4 linked regions of the Caenorhabditis elegans genome follow. The protein of the gene in region 3 interacts with the protein of the main gene of each other region in a pairwise test. Each region holds a gene or a part of one and is shown on either strand. Other genes may lie near its edges. The genes, in order: C34G6.3, T05F1.4, fbxa-171 and ZC239.15.

Region 1 (4,081 bases), on a different chromosome or scaffold from region 3:
GAAAATCAAGAAAAATGGAGAACCTTTTTCTTACATAAATTTAAAGTAGAAGACGAGGAATTTTTGTATGATTTTATATTTTCAAATATATACCAAACCCAAACTAAAATATAAAATCAAAAATCAAAAACAATATCATTAGGATTTTCGGGAAAAAATAAAAATAAAATGAATTGCTCAAATTTCAACAGTTCTGAAAAGACTTTTAAAAAATTATTGAAAAGTTTGTTCAACTTTTAATTTTGATGGTATTTTCTAGATTCCATTGGAACATTTTTGGTGGTTAGTGAAGTAGAGAAACATCGAAATAATATCAGAAAGAAGAAAACTAGTCAATTTTTTGTCAATTTAATTGACAACTAAACCCAAAAAACATTTGAAAATTACTGGTTCGATTCAGGGCAAACTGATGAAGTTAAAATGAAGACGAGGCGATTCTCCGTCCCTTTTTCATTTTTTTGTAACAGTTTTTTGTCTTTTACCTTCATCTCTTCTTTTTTATTTTTCGTTGTTTTCTGTGAAATTCGCTGATCTCTTTTTCTTCTTTTGATAATAGTGATAAGAAGTTGATGATGTCATTAATTTCCGAATGACAAAGAATTGGACGAGGAACTGACCTGGTGTTCTCTTTCTGAAACACTTGGGAAAAAACTGAAAACCAAATGAGACTGCGCATGCCGTTTGTAAAATACTTAGCGAATATTTTGGATGCATTTTGCAAGTGGCGAACAATATTTCACAAGTATTTTTCACTACTCTTCCTCGTGCCCTTCCAGCAGATTTTTAATGCAACATTTGTTCTTACAATTCCCGGTTGCTGAACAGCCCTGGCGGGTGGCCCCGTGTAATGTCTTGCTTCAAAATCAGATACTTGCAACCACAAACACCGAACTTTAAAAAAACTTTTATTACAATACAATATTGAATTGTTCCCTTTCGATTCAGTTTCTCGGACAGTTGCTCATTGAGCAGCACCAGCTCCTGGACCAAAATCCTCGTATCCATCGTCCATCTTTGTCTTCTTGCCGTCCTCCTTCACAAGAACATCCATTCCACTTGGCTCGTTTTGCTGAAATTGTTCATATTCTCAACTTTTTCCAAAAGAAATTTTTAGCAGTGTGTTTTCCTAATCAACTTCAAAATCGTAACTGTTACCTTATTAGGATCATCCTCCTTCTTTGCATGATCCTTCGAGGCATCTTTCTTCGGTGTGGCAACAACCTTCTTCTCGGCTTCTTCTTTTGCCTTCTTCTCTTTCAACTCCTTTGCCTCCTTTGCCTTGTCCTTCTCATTCATATCCACAGAAGTTTGGGATCTTGAAACCGACAAATTTGAAGTCTTCTTCTTCGTTTTCGAAGTTTTCTTCTTGTCAGCACAGTCTTTCTTCGTGTTTTTACTCTTTCCAGTCGTCATTTCTTTGTTTTACTTCGATGAATCGAAAGTCTGAAAATGGTCCGTTGATATCAGTTGTTAAGCAGCAAAAATATGTGACTTCCGATTTGCCGAAAGAAATCAATTGTTTTGTTGAAACAAAACATTAAGCAGAGCATCAAGCCAATTTCAAGCTGTCTGAAATCGCACGTTTCTAAAGAGTAAACTCACTTTTTCAACCAGAAGAGAGCTGATCAGAAATAACAATTAATGATTGTGATGTGGATTGAGATGAAGGAAATTTTTTTTTCTGGATGATGACTATCAGATATTTTTTGTAGAACACGTAGAACACATGTTACACGTTATTTTTAAATTAAAAATGTTATTGTATTTTTAGAGAAATATATTTTCTATGGGGCCGATTAATACATTTCATACGGTTGAGTCGTGAAAGGCACTTCTCACTTTTCTCATCACTTGCCTTCTTACTATTAGCAAAACGTCGTGACTTCATATCAAACTCCTGTAACTTAATAAAAAATAATAGTGATAACATTCAAAAAAAAATTCTAAAGTTTATATGAATTTTTGAAAATTGGAAAAATCTCACTTTTTGCCACTTGTTTGGAAGTCGTCGATGAAAACAATGTTACCTTCGATTTTTATGGTCTATTATTGCTTTTAAAATAAATTTTCAAACACTGTAGCACTTTCCTTCGAATGCCCTCCAATTCAAAGAGCGTGTATTTTGTTCAGCCTTACAATTTTTCACAGCATTTCCAATTTTTGATCTTCTAGAGATTCTTTTATCAATCTTCGTCAAATTTAGATTGGATGTTTCATTGATCTTAAATTGAAATAGGTGTAATGAAACTACAGTAAAAAAGTTAAATTAAAAATATAATAGTCTAAAGAAATCCTATTTTAGATTCTACATATTGAATGATGAGTAGTTTTTTTTCAAATAAAAATATTTATGCAGTGAAAATGGTAAATAATATATTTAAAAAAGAAAACAAAAAGACAATTATCACAATTCAAAGATAATTATCACAATTCAAAGAATTTCACACAAAATACACAAGATGGAGGGAAAGGCTATTTGGGGAAAAAGCAAAGTACCTAGATGACAAAAAAATTATTACGGGTTTACAAAATTTTCTAAAAATTTTACTTGATGAGCATATTTAAATTTTAAATATCAAGCTGTTTCAATTGAACATTAAAAAAATGAAACTCCATGCAAATTAGTTTGTAAACTCGTGTTTGAGAATCTAATACATATTTAAATTATTGACTTTCGACAATCCTCTGCGTTTCACAGAATTTCTGATATATTTCACTCTTCCTTATCAACTCGTCATGTGTTCCCTTTTCCACAATTTTACCCTCACTGACGATCGCAATGACGTCACTATTTTGAATTGTGCTCAACCGATGAGCAATGACAAGACACGTGCGACCTTGTTTTGCGGCGTCCAATGCTTCTTGTACAATCTGTAAACAGTGAATAAAACGATATTCTTCAAAGTCAATTTGCTATTTCAATATTTTTCATACAAACCTTTTCACTTTCCGTATCTAATGCACTAGTTGCTTCATCCAAAAGTAAAACAGAAGGAGATCGAACAAGTGCCCGTGCAATGGCAATTCTTTGTTTTTGACCACCCGAAAGTTGAGTTCCTTTCTCTCCGACATGAGTATCATAACCCTGAAATTTTTAGAATGAGTTCTGATTTATGAAAATATCACCCTACATCTGGCAATCCTAGAATGAAATTGTGAATATTTGCCATTTTGGCAGCTTCAACAATTTCTTGATATGTAACATTTCGATTTGTTCCGTAGCAAATATTTTCTCCAATTGTGCAATCAAACAACGTTGGCTCTTGACTTACAATACATACTTGTTCGCGAAGTGAACTGATGTTTAGGTTACGGATGTTATCACCATCAATCATCTAAAATTGTTTGCAGTTAAAACCAATCAGAAAGAAAATTGACTCACAATCATTCCTTTATCTTGATTATAGAATCTCTCCAGCAGTCCCATAATTGTAGATTTTCCACATCCTGAGTGCCCGACAAGTGCAACAGTTTTACCGGCTTTGATCTAAAATAAATATATTAATATTTGTTTTTACAGGTGGGTTAAGAATTGTAGGATCATTGTCTTTTTTTTTTTTCCTATTTTTAAAATTTCAGTAAAAAAGTCAGAGGGCAAGTGCATAAACATTCGATACAAAAACGCAAAAAAAATCCATATCCAGTTTTTAAAAGTCAAGGCTTATTGCTTTTTACCCTAGGATTGCACTACTGTCATATAGAAGTCAGGTATCAAATTAAAACCTACATCAAGAGTGAATCCTTGTAAAACCTTGGTATCCTTTCTTGTTGGATAATTGAAAAATACATTTCTGATTGAAATATTTCCAGTTATCGGCTTCACAATTCCACTATCAGATAGAGAATCAATAGGTGTTGGATGTTCAATAAGATAGAACAAAAGAGAAGCAGCAAGACGAGCTTTTACGACATCAGGAATAAAAGATGTAGTATTTCCAATCATTTGTCCACAGAATGAAATAGCAAAGAATACTCGATAGACATCAATTGGTTGCATAGCTTGTTGATTTACAAAAATACTTCCAAGATAGAATGCAGCAGCATACATGAAGAAAATAAGAGATTGAGAGAATGCAAATAC
Region 2 (4,079 bases), on a different chromosome or scaffold from region 3:
AGCAAATAAATAGTTTATCACAAGTTATTGAAGAAATTGTATTAATACGAATAATATGAATTGAAATCTTCATAAATTAAATTTACTAAAAATCAATCTTTGGATGCACTCATTTACAGATCGGAAGTCAGGACTTTCACCAAATGCCTATTTCCGCTTAAACATCCGTTGTTTCTTATTCATCGTTGTTGGATTCCTTTTTTCAATAATTTCAAGAGCAGTGTAATTAGTTTCCGGTGGCTAATAAAACGAGATTTCGAAGTTTTCATAGAAATATAACAATAACCCAGACGCGAACGTTTGTGTTTTTGCGCAATAAATACGGTACCCGGTCTCGACACGACATTTTTCTGTTATACAAACGGTTATGCACCTTTAAAGATTTAATTAAAGAGTACTGTAATTGCAAACTTTCGTGCTGTACTGTAGTTTTGCTCACGGTTTGTTAGAATGTATGAGTTCAAACTTGTTTTTTTTAAAGAAATAGACGGTTTCCGTACTTACATACCAACGAAGTTTTGAAATTACAGTACTCTTCAAAGGCGCACACCCGTTTTATCATACAAAAAAAAATCGTGTCGATACCGGGTACTGTATTTCTGGCGCTGAAATCGCAAAACTTCGTGTTTGGGTAAAACCATTTAGATGTTTCAAAAATAGTTTCATATGATCGCTCAAAATACAATACCCCAATGTAGACTCCGCCCATATCCAGACGAGAAATCGTGAAACTAAAGAATTGCAGAAGGAAATTTCAAAAACACGAATGAATCTTTGATGGGATTACAATGAACAAGAAGAAAAAACAATAAATTTCATTTATTGTGTTGAAAATCATGAAAATCCATATTGATTCTGAGAAAAAATAAAAATATTATAAAGATATAAAATAAAACTATCTGATAGTTTGAATACATAATGAGAAAATATCTCTAAAGCGACAATGTGACATGATTTGGTTGTATTATTAGGATTCGGCAGCTGGAGGGATGGATATTGGCTATCAGAAGTTACCAGTTCGGCTTGAGAAGTTCTTGTGGCTGAAAATTTAATTATTAGTTAATTTTCTATTTTTTTTTTGTCTTCTTACGCATGTTGTTTCCGTGTACTCTTTATATGCTTCTAGAAGAGCCTCGTGGTCCATTTTTGCCCTGCGTAACTGAAACTCGGCCCGTCGGATAGCTTCTTCGGCGTCAGCTGTAATTGGTAAAGCATTTTCAGTGCAAAATTCGTTGCTCATACCGATTCTTAATTTCCACGTTCTAGCTGCTTCTTTGTCTGTTGGTTTCAAAATAGTTCGTAAATCATTACGGCTTCCTCTTGTTGGCTCTTCTTCTTTCTCATGGTATCCATTCCGATCACTATCCCTTCCATCTCGTCTGAAAGATGGAGGGGAAAACCGGTTACGGCCTTGGTCTCGATCATTCGATGCTGAATATAGAACATTTAAGATTAATAATAATCGAATCAATAACTAACATAAAGCAGGACGTGCATCAAACGGATTATTACGGTATGTTTGAACTTGATTATGATTGGATGGACTTGGAGTACGACTATTCGGCCGATTTTGTTGGCGATAGTTGTTGAAACGATGTTCATGACGATCCTCGCTGTGATTTGATCTAAAATCCAGAAATTGATGGATAAAATTAATTTTATTAGTTTACCTTCTGTCTGGACTCAAGTGTCGATCTGATTGATTATCTCTAATATCATCACGGAATCCACCATTTCCACCACCTCGTCTTCCTCTTCCGCGTCTTTTTGAATAACCACCTCCGCGTGGAATGATGCCCCCGCCGGACATTTTTCTTGCTGAAAACAATTTTAGAATTTTTAAAAGCATGTTATTTAAACAAGAGGAAAAATAGTTGTTTTATACAAAGAATCGAATAAAACTGTTTATTTTATATTTTTTCGCTCAGAAAGCGGAATTTGTGGCTGTCGTTATTTCCGAACAATGTATTAAATGTTTTTTTTTTAAATTTTATTGATGGGCCTTTATTGATGGGAAGTAGAAATCAAAAGTTCGAATATTTCAAGCGATATTTTTTTTTATAATTCATGATGTTGAGTACACTCAAAATAAGAAAACTGCGTGGCGTGTACTGCAGAAAACCTCATATTTAGGCCCCGCCTTTTCTCCGTGAGTGGACAAGAAAAAGGCGGGGCCTAAATATGAGGTTTTCTGCAGTACACGCCACGCAGTTTTATTATTTTGAGTGTAGTTTTCCCGTTTCTCAATTATTAATTTAAAGAGCTCAATTGGGAATGCATTAAATTTCAGAGAAAACGAACTGTTTGAAATATTGTTAATTGTTTGAAACTAATGCTGCCAAATCAAGAAAATTGACAACGTTATTGGTACAGTTCATTTTTTCATTTCAGAATAAGCAACAAAAGGTGTTCATATGAATGTACTGTAGGTTAGTAAAACACTATGTTAGGTTACTCTTTGATGCAAAAAGGAATAGTTAAAAAGTTCTCAGAAGCTTTCGAATAAATTATAATAAATACGTTGCAGAAGTAACTGGGAAAGGAATGATGATCGTGATTTAAAAAAGATGGAAGAGCTTCAAAACAGGGGCTTAGAAAATGCAGTTCTATAATAATAAATTGGGAAGAGCTCAAAAATTCACAAAAAATGGTTAATGAATACGCATACAATGTCACCGCTTGTTGACCAGCACACTGAGCGGGTAAATTTTCGAGTAAGAGATCGACGATATTTCAGCGGATGGAGCACGGTAGGGAAAGTAGAATAGTTATTTAAAAAGTTGATATAAAAACGTAGTGTACAAAATGAGAAGGGAAATGGGGAAAGGGGGTGAGATGAGATGATATTCAATGACGCGTGCGGTGATGCAGACGGTATGGATCGAATTTTGGATGAGCATTTGGCTCAGGAGCTTTGCCAAGAATTATTGTCTGAAAAATGTATAACAATTAAACGACGAGGAAAACGGAATCTCACTTGGATAACCCATTCGGAAGTGACTCTACTTGCTCCAATAGTATCTGCATACTCCATGACTTCGTCACGGAAAGTTCCATCAACTAAAACAACGTCAAATTTGAGACCTGTTTCGTCAAGAGTTTCCCAGTCTCCGTCGACTACATCAGCACCGAGAAGCTCAAGAATAGGTTTCCAAATCTCGATGAAAGTTCCTCCGGGTCCAGTTTGTGTTACTTCACGAGCTGAGTGAGTTGAGTGTACATAAATTGTTGTTCCTTTCAAAAGCTCTGATGGATTTTTGGGCCTTAAATGTTTTCGATGATCAGAATTTTCAGAATCGTTATAAAAATCAAAAATCTAACGGAATTGAAATCATTCATCATGAAAGTTCACTTACGCTGGCATATCCTGAGACTCGTCAAAAATTGAAGCACCTGCAGGAAGAACATAGTCCGTATAGTCGACACATTTCCCCTGTTCACCACATGCTTGTAACCATGTATTGTTAACACAAGGAACACCACGAGCTAAAGCTGCCAAGTACTTGTGAGTACGATAGTACGTATCAGAAATCAGCAATGGTTCGTAGTTGGAGTAACGCTCTTGGAAGCTCTTAAAATAAAATGATTAGAATGTTATTTGTAAGACGTTATCTTACATTAAGCTGCTCCGTGACGATCCCACCATTCTGAGTAATGAAGTTCATCAGATTCTTCTTTTTGAACATTGAAGGAACACTCGCAGAATTTGAACGATTGGCCGAAGTTAGCATGAAGACCTTTCCGGTGAAAATGTTCTTTCCAATAGCTTCCTCGTTCATTGGCAAAAGCTTTTCTTCTTCTTCAGCCGGACTTGCTGATCCTCCTCTAGAGGAAACTAGATCAACTCCCTTCTTCTTACGACCTTTTGGTTTTGCTTGATTAGAAACTGTAGTTGGCTTACGAGCACGAGTAGCCTCCGATATTGTAGTAATATTAGACGTAACAATAGCCGTAGCACTTTGATCTTTGCTTTTAACATAGTCTCGCCATTCTGAATGATCGAAAGAAACATCATACCAATCAACAACCTTCACTTCGTCAGTTGGTTCCCCATCTTCATCCATGATCGATATGGTTAA
Region 3 (5,820 bases):
AGTGAGAAGAAGTTTCTTCATTAAAACATAAATAGCCACAATTTCCGTTTCAATTAAAACAATTATTATTTCTGACTGCTTATCTTCTGAAAATTAATAAGTTTAAAACACAAATATTTCAAGACCAATATTCCAAGTGGCTGTAACTATACCAAACAGTCAAATTGCAATCCGCGCGTGTATCCTTTATGAGCATCTTCACGGGAAGATGCTTACAGTGGCATATAGAAACTTCTGCGACAAAGTTGGGAATGGTGTCATTGAATTTGAGTCTTTTGAGTTTTGGTTTAATCAATTCCAAACTGGGAATCATGATTTGAGATATGATATTGAGTAATAAAAAAAACAATGATATTTGGACTATGGTTAAACTTTAGAAATTCAGGAATGCGCTTGAACCTCGTTCTTTGGCAGAAATCACTTCTACAGCCATGGCTTCTGGTGTGCTTTAGTAGAGCTGTAAGTCTTGTGAAGGTTGTAGGGAGTAATTGGGATATTCAGATCCGAAAGCAAATCAAGGAAATGTTTGGATGGAGCTCAGAGCAGCATATTGTCCAAATTCGATCTATTACAAGCTGAACAGTATTGTTTATGTACTGTTGAAAAATATATGTATGATTGCTACAACATAAAAGAGTTAAAAGTTATTTTATAAAAATCCGAATCGATAAAATTATATTATCCGTTTAACTTGAAATGAATTAGGAGTAATTTTCAAAAGGAATTTTTTGTTGTGTCGTGTGTAATTTATTATCGGCCATTGATTGCTTTGATATCCTGGTACGAATACATTTGCAATTTCAATTGGATCGAAGTCGTCGGATTCGAAGTTTGCATATTTGAAAGTGTCGGATTTCATCAAAATCTGAAACTATGTTAATTGTTTATACTTGAAGCGTAAAGTCTGCAGCAAATGCCTAAGCCTAAGCCTAAACTCCTAAGCTCAAGAGTAGTATAAGTCCCACACGACACCCCCATCCCACACCAGACCCCCCTATTGACCTCTCCCAAAATGGGGTGTCCATCTATGGATGTCCATTTATGGATGGCCATCGTTTTTTATTGATCTGTTTTTTTCGTTTATCATGGAACTGTTTTTTATTAGGAAAAAATGTTGTACTGTATGGGAGAAAATCTGAAATTAAAAAATATTTGAAATCGAGTATGTGGAATAAAATGTTTTCATTTACACTTTTAATATGTTTCATTGTGCACCCCTCCTCTCTATTACTCCGCCCCACTGCACAATCGAAAATCTCATAGTCAGTCTAAAGAAATTTAGAACATCATTATCCAAGTTGACACTTTCACGACAACAAGCCCCTACACTGAAAGTCATAACTCCTGGCCCTTCATATGGAGCTTGCAAGAAAACTTAGGTCATCCGAAAGCTGTGTGCACTATTAAAGAAATTTCTTTAGAATGAGTTTTTTGATTGTGCAGTGGGGCGGAGTAATAGAGAGGAGGCGTGCACAATGAAACATATCAAAAATGTAAATGAAAACATTTTATTCCACATACTCGATTTCAAATATTTTTTTAATTTCAGATTTTCTCCCATACAGTACAACATTTTTTTCTAATAAAAAACAGTTCCATAAAAAACGAAAAAAAAAACAGATCAATACAACAGAACAATAAAAAACGATGGCCATCCATAAATGGACATCCATAGATGGACACCCCATTTTGGGAGAGGTCAATAGGGGGGTCTGGTGTGGGATGGGGGTGTCGTGTGGGACTTATACTACTCTCAAGCGTGAGCCTAAGTCAAAAACTTCAGACTTAAGCTTCTTGGTGACCTATACGTCTCTCTGTGAAAATTCGCGTTGATCGGCCAACTGGAACCCTCTCAAAAATTTTAAAAAAAAACGGGAAATTCTTGAGCCTAAATACCGTCAGTGGCGAGCGTTAGATTGGCAAGCGTCAGCTCGCCAAGCCTAAGCCTGAGCCTAAACCTAAGCCTGAGTTTAGAATAAGATTATGCTTAGAACTGACCCTAAGACTAAACCTAAACCTAAGTCTAAGCCTAATCCTAACCCCTGAACCATTCAAAACTTACATCTCGAATTTTAATCGCATCATCTTTTGCGAAAAGATCCACAGTAACGTCAAAATAAGCTAGATGGAAGAACTTTTCAATGTTCATGGAGCAAGTGTCACTGTCAAAAATTAAAGCTTTTGCATTTTTCAGCTGAACTGTATCCATTAATTTTGTGCTATGGCCGTCTGTAGAAGAGGCAAAAAAGTGAACAACTTCGAGCGTTTTAGGCTCGAAGTACGGCAGGATTGCGTCGATTTCTTCGTTTTTCAATTCACAAACTAGTTTTCGGACTCGTAATTTGTTCATCGATCTCAAGACGTTCAATACATCGTTGAAAATGTTTTCCCGAATTTGCTCAGACATTTGTGCTTCAAAAAGTACGGAAAATGTTCGTGCGTCTTTAGTCACTACTGTATTGAAATCTTGAAGCGCTATTTTCCGATAATCTGTTCCTTTGATTTGAATTTTTCTGTTCTCGTAGATAATTGTGCATCCGTTTGGTACTGGGCAGTAGTTGACGGTTCTTTCGTTCAAAAATAGTCTTGCTTCATCTTTTTCGAAACATATTCCCATGGCGTTAAAATGAAATTCTTGTTGGTCAATTTTGTCACGGAGAATGCGCGAAACTTTTCTGGCCACGAATCTTGAAAAATTTTGGATTGAAACCATATTGACTTTTAGATGAAATTTATGCCATTTGAGAAATCGTTAAAAACATTTTTGGTCAAACATTTGTTTTAATTGTTTTTTGAAAACTTCCCAAAATTCATTTTTTCGGAGACATTTCAAGGTGTTTCTATAGTTGTAAAACTTCATAAAAAGACGATGAAAAAAAATACTTTGATGGAAAAACTCATCTGAATAATTCATATCTACTTTATTGCTACAATTTTTGCATAAGGACCTTTTTTGAATTACATGGGGTGTGTATAGAAGTCTATGACCACACGGTAAATATCATACTTTCTTTATAAAATCTCACCTATCGCAAAGTTCCATTTTGGCACAAATTTCATTCCAAACTTTTTCCGGCATATTCTGCAGGGAAGGTTCTTGTGGCTCACTGAAAAACATTAAAATTTTCTGTAAAGAAGCTTAGCACTTACCCATTAAAATATTCGACGAACTTCCTGCACCACTCTTTTTCGGAAATTTTGTGTGGAACGTCTGATGGTGGATTGATCGAGCAACGCAGATCATTGGAATTTCGTACTTCAATCTGCCTATTATCGTCCTGCAAGTCATGATTACCATTATAAAATCTATGAAACCAATATTCAAATTCTTTGTAGGCAATCTTCTCCTTCAAGGTGTTGCAAATTGTTTCATAGGCTTCATTCACAGTCTTTTTCTGGAGCACTTCGTAGAAAATACAAGATCGAATGAAGGTTTTGGAGTAAGGTTTTTGAGCGGTGGAAGTCATTTTGATATGATGCGCGCGGCAAAAAAATTACATCAAAATTTTAGACTTAGCAATATATCTTCACCGAATTCTTCAGTATTGACATTGGAGTTAGAGGGCACTTGCACTGCTGGAGAGTTAGTCAGAGAAAGGAGAACAGTCGAGCATGTTGTTTCGCAATAAAACATTTTTTTTTGTTGGGTTTATATGTCCTTCAGCAATTGCATTCTTGAACTGGCCTAAATAAGATGTCCTTGCAGATCCGGAAACAAACTGAGGGGAATGGAACTCTGTGCAACTACTTGCTCCACCTTCATATATTTCTAGCTGATGAACTGTAAAATAAATTTGTTTGTATTAGTTTTACCAACGTCTCTTTGACACTCGCCCATTCAAATAGTTACAACACCCTGTTCCATCCTCAGGGTTTTTCAGGATTTTCAAATTTTCGGCGATATGGGCCTACCGGCAAGCTTTTTCGAGATTTTTCCAGATATTAATGGTGTACCAATTTCCCAAACATTGAGTGGAAATTCCAAAAAATGGAAGACGATTGTTATAAGAAATGGTAAGAATATGATCTTAGTTACATTTTTGCGCATATTTCATCCCAATGGACGTTCTTGAAAATTTCTCACAATTTTCTGAAACAAACAAAAGATTTCAAACATTTTTGTGATATATTGCTAGCCACATTCGTCTAATTTTCCAAGTCACATTGTTCCAGTTTTGATATTGCTAATTTGGTAGACCTAATTCTGGTTTGATTCCTCAGTCTCTCTAGTCTCTTGGCGTTGTTGTATACGAACTGATATTATCTCCTCTGATCAAAAACCAAGTGTATTTGGCGAAAACACGCAATCCAAATAGGGATATAAATACGAAGAGAAGAAATTACCCCAAAAAGATCAGGCAAATCTACGGCAAATCAGTAAAGACTTTTTGTATTTTTCGTGGTTTTACTTCTCGATTTCAATTCAATTTATTTTTTGAAAGACTATTTTAAAGTGGTTCCGTCTATTTGTTTTTACATATGTAGTTTGGCTTTTGATCTTCTCCTTTCTAAAAATTGTATTCAATATTATGAGTTACTTTCCCTGCATTTTTCATTAAAAAGTATGTATTTGCCGCACATTCTCCATTCGTTCGACTTATCATCATTTTTTCAGAGAACATGAAAAAAGAATTTCTGCAATTCTTCAGTCTCTTTGTCGTACAACTTCGTTTTTATCTCCCGTGTTAAGAAAGAGAATCAAACAGAAAAACGCAAACAATAAAATTGATTTTAAAAAAACCGCTGTGACAACTCGTTTTCTCATAGCGCGTTGAAAAAATGCTTCTCGTTGTAATAGTTTATTCCAATTTAAATTTTTTTGATTTAGCAAGAAACGACTTTCTTAGTTCGTTTTTCAGATTATCCGAAAAACTAAACATTAGTAAAAATGGATGATCAGCTTGAAAAAAATTTAGAAGTAGGAGAATGGAAAAAATGTGAAGAAAAAGCAGAATCTCCGTGAGTTGTTTCGCAATTTTTCAGCAGAGTGAATTAAGTTTTTGTTAATTTCAGAGTTGGGAACCCTTTTCTACTTCATTATGATCACTTAAATCTTTGTGTTTGAATGCAAAAACACTGTTACTAATTAAGAGCGTAGTTTTTTAGGGAGGACCAACTAATTATGTGGGGATGCAAATTACACCAATAATTCCCAGGTGAGCAAAAATTCTTACATTAATACAGAAACAGCTGCAGTTCTACTACAATGGAACAATCAGTTGTTATATATACCGTATATTCTCTATTAGTGTTGTCGATTCAGCCCTTCGAGGTCAATCTCGACAACCTTTTTAACAGTGCTCTGATATAGGTTTCTACGGAATAGCCCACTATTCTTAACCTATATCAGCTCGACCGCACCGTTGAGCATTACTCCAATTATTATCTCTTCATTACATTTTATTTCATTCAAATCCGTTCAGTATTCGCCGAGATATAAATATATCTATAAATATTCGTATTCAAATCACGCGCCAACACCTTATGGTAGCGCGCTCGCGGCGAGACCCACGCGTCTCTAACTTCTTGGCATCGCGCCAAGTCCACCGACCGCCCGCGGGGAGTTCGAATATGTCCGTCAATTGTGACGTAATTGAATACCAATTCCGGTGTAATCTCCACGTATCGTTTTCCCTCACGTGCAGATATACCATCATGTTCGTTAGATTTATATCTTTAATAACAGTTTGAACTATTACCAGTCTAAATGACCCATTATCATCATTTCACCATCATATTCGCCAGACGAGGGTTTTTCACCATCTTAAGAACTTCTAATATCATCCTTATATGTTCTTTGCTGTATTTCCCTCATTTTAC
Region 4 (4,346 bases), on a different chromosome or scaffold from region 3:
AGAAACAAACAAACACTTAAAAAGAAAACAGAGTGAAATTCTGCTATCAGTGAGTCGATTTAATTGTTCAGCCTTACCAAATTGTTGTTTTTTTCCTCAGAATTGCAAAATTGGAAGTTTAAGTTTGTTTGTACTGTATTATTTTTAAAACTCTCTATAAACTCACTTCCAGTTACAATACTCCCAATAAAATGAAAACTCAATTTATTTCAGTTAAACAATCACTTCCGTGAAATCCAAGAAGGTTTGGATATCCATGGAGGTGGGGGAGAAGATACAGAACAAGTTCGTGCGCTTTCAATAATTGGTAGCTTTTTAATATTACCCAATTCAATGAGTCCATTCAGCAAATAATATTGAGCCTCTGCCAGCAATTCTTCCAATTTTCGGGAAGTGACAGGTCACCATCTCTCATGAAATTTAAAATCCTGTTAAAATGTTTCGGGGAGCGATCGATAAAAATGCATCCGGATTCGTCAAGTTCCAGCTGAAAATTTTCAAGTTTTCAAATCAGGTAAGAAATCAATATCATGAAACCCCTGTTCCAGATTCCAGCATAGTTTTAAAAATGCTATCGAGTTTCATTAATGTATCTTTTGAAGTTTTGAAAATAGTTCCGCCAACGTCTAGTTTAACAGTTTCACTCATTTTTGAAAAGTTTTTGAGAGGAAAAAGAGAGAAAAACGGAGTGAAATTGTGTTATCAGTGAGCCGATCGATTTTGAATTATCAGTGTTGCGAAATTTTGTTTTTTTTTTTACAAAAAAATCAAAAATGTTAAGAAATAAAAAAAAACTTCTGAATTGAAAATATTGTCAAAAAATCCACAAAATGAGTTAATTATCTCTTTCTCTGCTTCTCCAAATACAAATATTGACCAAACTCCCCAATCATTTTTTCTAATTTTTCCAAAAAAGTTGCATCCCGAATTATCCGTCCGCCTCGATTAATTCGAAGATTGTGCGGAAATTGACTATAATATCCATTCTCGGTAGATTTCCACTTTATCCTAGCTTTCCATTTTCGAGAAGGTTCGTCTTCACTCAATCGCTCTTAATCGATTACGGTAATCAGACCCTTTCACATTCAAACATAGTTTTGAATAATCCATCACATTTTATTAATGTCGGTCTTGAAGTTTTAAAAATAGTTCCGCCGATGTCTAGTTTAACAACCTTGTTCATATTTTAAAATAGTTACGGTTTGAGGCACAGATGCAACCAAACTCAAAAAATAAAAATAAGAATGTTTGTTATCAATCAGACTTTGAACTTATCCATGTGTTTTGTGTTTAAAGATAAAAAAACAAGCTTACTAAATTATAATTTTTTAAGCTTCTAAATTAGAAATATTGTCGAAAAATCCATAAAATAAGTTAATTATCTATTCCTCTGCTTCTTCAAATACTCATCAAACTCCCCGATCATTTTTTCCAATCGTTCCAAAAATGTTGCATCCCGTATTATCCGTCCACCTCGATTAATTCGAAGATTGTGTGGAAATTGACTGTAATATCCATTCTCAGTAGGTTTCCATTTTATCCTTGCTTTCCATTTGCGAGAAGGTTCGTCTTCACTCAATCGCTCTGAATTGACTATTTTATGAGGATAATGTACAAAAAACTTACGAAAATAAATATCGAACTGATGTGAATACTTTTCCATGAACTCGTAAAGATTAAAGTTATAGGGAATCGACATATCATTCCCAACCATGCAAAATTCAATTATGAGCATTGGCTGTAAAAATTATATGTAGAGCTGAAATTTTTTGAAGAAACTGGTTAATTATTTTATGATTGACAAACGCCATACAGTGTGGCCTTACTATTAGGACTACAGCTTGCACTGGCCTATAGTTTAAGCCACGTCCTAGCCAGGGACTGTGGCCGATAATACAGTCATGGATTGCTCCACTCTCCAATACAGACTGGGTGAACCTAGGGGATGAGTCTAAACTTGAAACCGCAACCTCTAGCTTTCTAGCAGCTACCACTACCGACTGAGATATTCCTATGAATTTGAAAAACTACATTATTTTATCGAAACTCACCTTCTGTTGAACAGCAAGAATTTGAAGAAATTGTTCATCGCTTTCAATAAATCGAAGTTTTATCTTTGGAGCTTCAACAAGCTCAATCTTTGAATTGCACAACTCAATGAGTCCGTCGAGCAAATAGAATTGAGCTTCTACTAGCAGCTCCTTCAGTTTCAATTCACAATTGGGTAGAACCACGTCGCCGTCTCGCATAAAGTTCAGTATCAAGTCGAAATTTTTCGGAGACCGATCAATAAAAATACTCCCAGATTCGTCAATTTTTAGCTGAAAATTTGAAAATTTATCGGGAAATTTTTGGAAAAATCGGACCCCAATGTCACTCTCCAACATAGTTTTGAAAAATCCATTGAACTTTGTTAATGTAGATCTTGAAGTTTTGAATATAGTTCCACCAACGTCCAATTTCACAGTTTCACTCATTTTCGAAGAGTTTTCTAGGGGAGAAAAAGAGAAAGATGGAGTAAAATTTTGTTATCAGTTATAAGATTATCGATCAGTACATATTTCAAAATGATTTTTTTTAACAAAAATTAAAATTTCCAACAACTAAAAAAGATAACATTTATTTCTTTTTTCAACAATAAAATAGCCTTTTAGTGCAGGCATGTAATACACAAACACTAAAACCAAAAAAATTATTGAAAAAACAAAAAACCATGATAAATCATATTTTTTAGTGTTTGCTCTTTGATCAATTTGGACCTTTTTTGTAGAATTAAGTTTATCACAGCACATTAAGACTAGACCATCCAACCAGTAGAATTGAGCTTCTGCCATCAATTCTCTCAGCTCTCTTTCATCTTCTGGCAGTGGCAGATCACCATCTCTCATTAAATTCAGAATCAATTCAAAGTGTTTCGGGGACCGATCTATGAAAATGCATCCGGTTTTTTCAATTTTCGGCTGGAAATTTTCACGTTTTTTTTTGGAAAAAAACAACGATTTTCATACCCCAGTTTTGCATTCCAACATAGTTTTGAAAAAGCTATGGAACTTTGTTAATGTATCTTTTGAAGTTTTGAATATAGTTCCGCCAACGTCTAGTTTAATAATTTCACTCATTTTTGGAGAGTTTTTGAAAAAAATTGTAGAGGAGAAAAAGAGGAAAGTGAAATGAAGGTTTGTTATCAGTGAGTCGATCGATTTGAAGTTATCAGTGTTTTCAATTGATTTTTTTCCATACTATAATAGGTTTACGTTCGGGTCTGTTCACATTTCTATGATAGCATAATACAATGAAAATTGCGTTTAATAGCCACTAAAATAGGTAGCATTTACTAGATTTTTCAACAATAAAATAGCTTTTTAGTGCAGGGATGTAATACACAAATACCAAAAAAATTAATGAAAAAACAAAAAAACGAGTATAACTATTATTTTTAGTTATTGGTTTTTGATTTTGAATCATTCGGAAGTTTATTATAGTGCTAAGTTTCACACCGCACTTATTGTACAGTCCAAACATCTGATAGTAATTTGCTTCCGCACACAACTCTCTCAATTCCTTCTCAGTTTCGGGCAACCACAGATTCCCATCTCTCATTAAGTTCAGAATTAACTCGAAGTGTTTCGGGGAACGATCAATAAAAATGCATCCGGATTTTTCGAGTTTCGGCTGAAAATGTTCAGGTTTTTGGAGAAATATAGTCAGCAACATTATACCGCAATATCACTTTCAAACATAGTTTTAAAAAAGCTATCGAGTTTCGTTAATGTATCTTTTGAAGTTTTGAATATAGTTCCACCAACGTCTAGTTTAATAATTTCGCACATTTTTTGGAGAGTTTTTAAAAAAATTGTGGGGAAGAGAAATGAAGAAAGTGAGATGAAGTTTTGTTATCAGTAAGTCTATCGATTTGCAATTAACAGCCATTTTTATATTTTTAACAAATTTTAGGAAATAGTGGCGGTGGAGTTTTTTTCAAGACATGTATAGAAAACTTTCCGATTTCCGCTTTTGCAAATTGTGCAAAATTTCTGAAGGAATTTTTATAAGAAAAAACGGATGACACATATTTTTGACATTTTTTCTCGTTTTCAGCAAGAATTCTAATATATTTTTTCTCATTTTTCATGTAAGATACGTGTAATTTTGCAGTTACAACTGAAATTTCAAAATTTCCAATAAAAAATGCAATACCTCAGTCGAAATTTTTCGGCAATTGAAGTTTTTGGCAGCTTCACAAAAAATTGAAAAATTTCCCATATTTTTTGAAACCAGCAGTTTCCGAAGATTCCAATTGCCAAAAATTTTCAAAACACTACAGTTTAAAATTGGGGTTATAACTT

The links.
Region 1: the proteins of fbxa-171 (region 3) and C34G6.3 interact in a two-hybrid assay, tested with the Caenorhabditis elegans proteins (one large-scale study listed by BioGRID).
Region 2: the proteins of fbxa-171 (region 3) and T05F1.4 interact in a two-hybrid assay, tested with the Caenorhabditis elegans proteins (one large-scale study listed by BioGRID).
Region 4: the proteins of fbxa-171 (region 3) and ZC239.15 interact in a two-hybrid assay, tested with the Caenorhabditis elegans proteins (one large-scale study listed by BioGRID).

Annotation. Positions count from the first base shown.
Region 1 is NC_003279.8:5,894,220-5,898,300, reverse strand, and holds C34G6.3 (Non-histone chromosomal protein HMG-14), read right to left. Parts: upstream 1,684-4,081; 5' UTR 1,603-1,683; intron 1,444-1,602; 5' UTR 1,414-1,443; coding exon 1,156-1,413; intron 1,070-1,155; coding exon 962-1,069; 3' UTR 896-961; downstream 1-895. Other genes in the region: pgp-2 (ABC-type xenobiotic transporter), read right to left, coding at 2,665-2,871, 2,939-3,085, 3,132-3,335, 3,383-3,487, 3,728-4,081.
Region 2 is NC_003279.8:9,629,127-9,633,205, reverse strand, and holds T05F1.4 (NAM-associated domain-containing protein), read right to left. Parts: upstream 1,819-4,079; 5' UTR 1,811-1,818; coding exon 1,671-1,810; intron 1,626-1,670; coding exon 1,480-1,625; intron 1,432-1,479; coding exon 1,243-1,431; intron 1,198-1,242; coding exon 1,091-1,197; intron 1,041-1,090; coding exon 1,011-1,040; 3' UTR 805-1,010; downstream 1-804. Other genes in the region: Protein hsr-9, read right to left, coding at 2,848-2,931, 2,978-3,263, 3,357-3,571, 3,618-4,079.
Region 3 is NC_003283.11:17,562,537-17,568,356, forward strand, and holds fbxa-171 (F-box domain-containing protein), read right to left. Parts: upstream 3,468-5,820; coding exon 3,151-3,467; intron 3,108-3,150; coding exon 3,027-3,107; intron 2,688-3,026; coding exon 2,063-2,687; intron 866-2,062; coding exon 674-865; downstream 1-673.
Region 4 is NC_003280.10:3,222,167-3,226,512, forward strand, and holds ZC239.15 (BTB domain-containing protein), read right to left. Parts: upstream 2,566-4,346; 5' UTR 2,478-2,565; coding exon 2,367-2,477; intron 2,322-2,366; coding exon 2,052-2,321; intron 1,739-2,051; coding exon 1,627-1,738; intron 1,585-1,626; coding exon 1,379-1,584; 3' UTR 1,167-1,378; downstream 1-1,166. Other genes in the region: ZC239.13 (BTB domain-containing protein), read right to left, coding at 344-487, 538-648; ZC239.16 (BTB domain-containing protein), read right to left, coding at 2,604-2,960, 3,009-3,119; ZC239.17 (Potassium channel tetramerization-type BTB domain-containing protein), read right to left, coding at 3,316-3,714.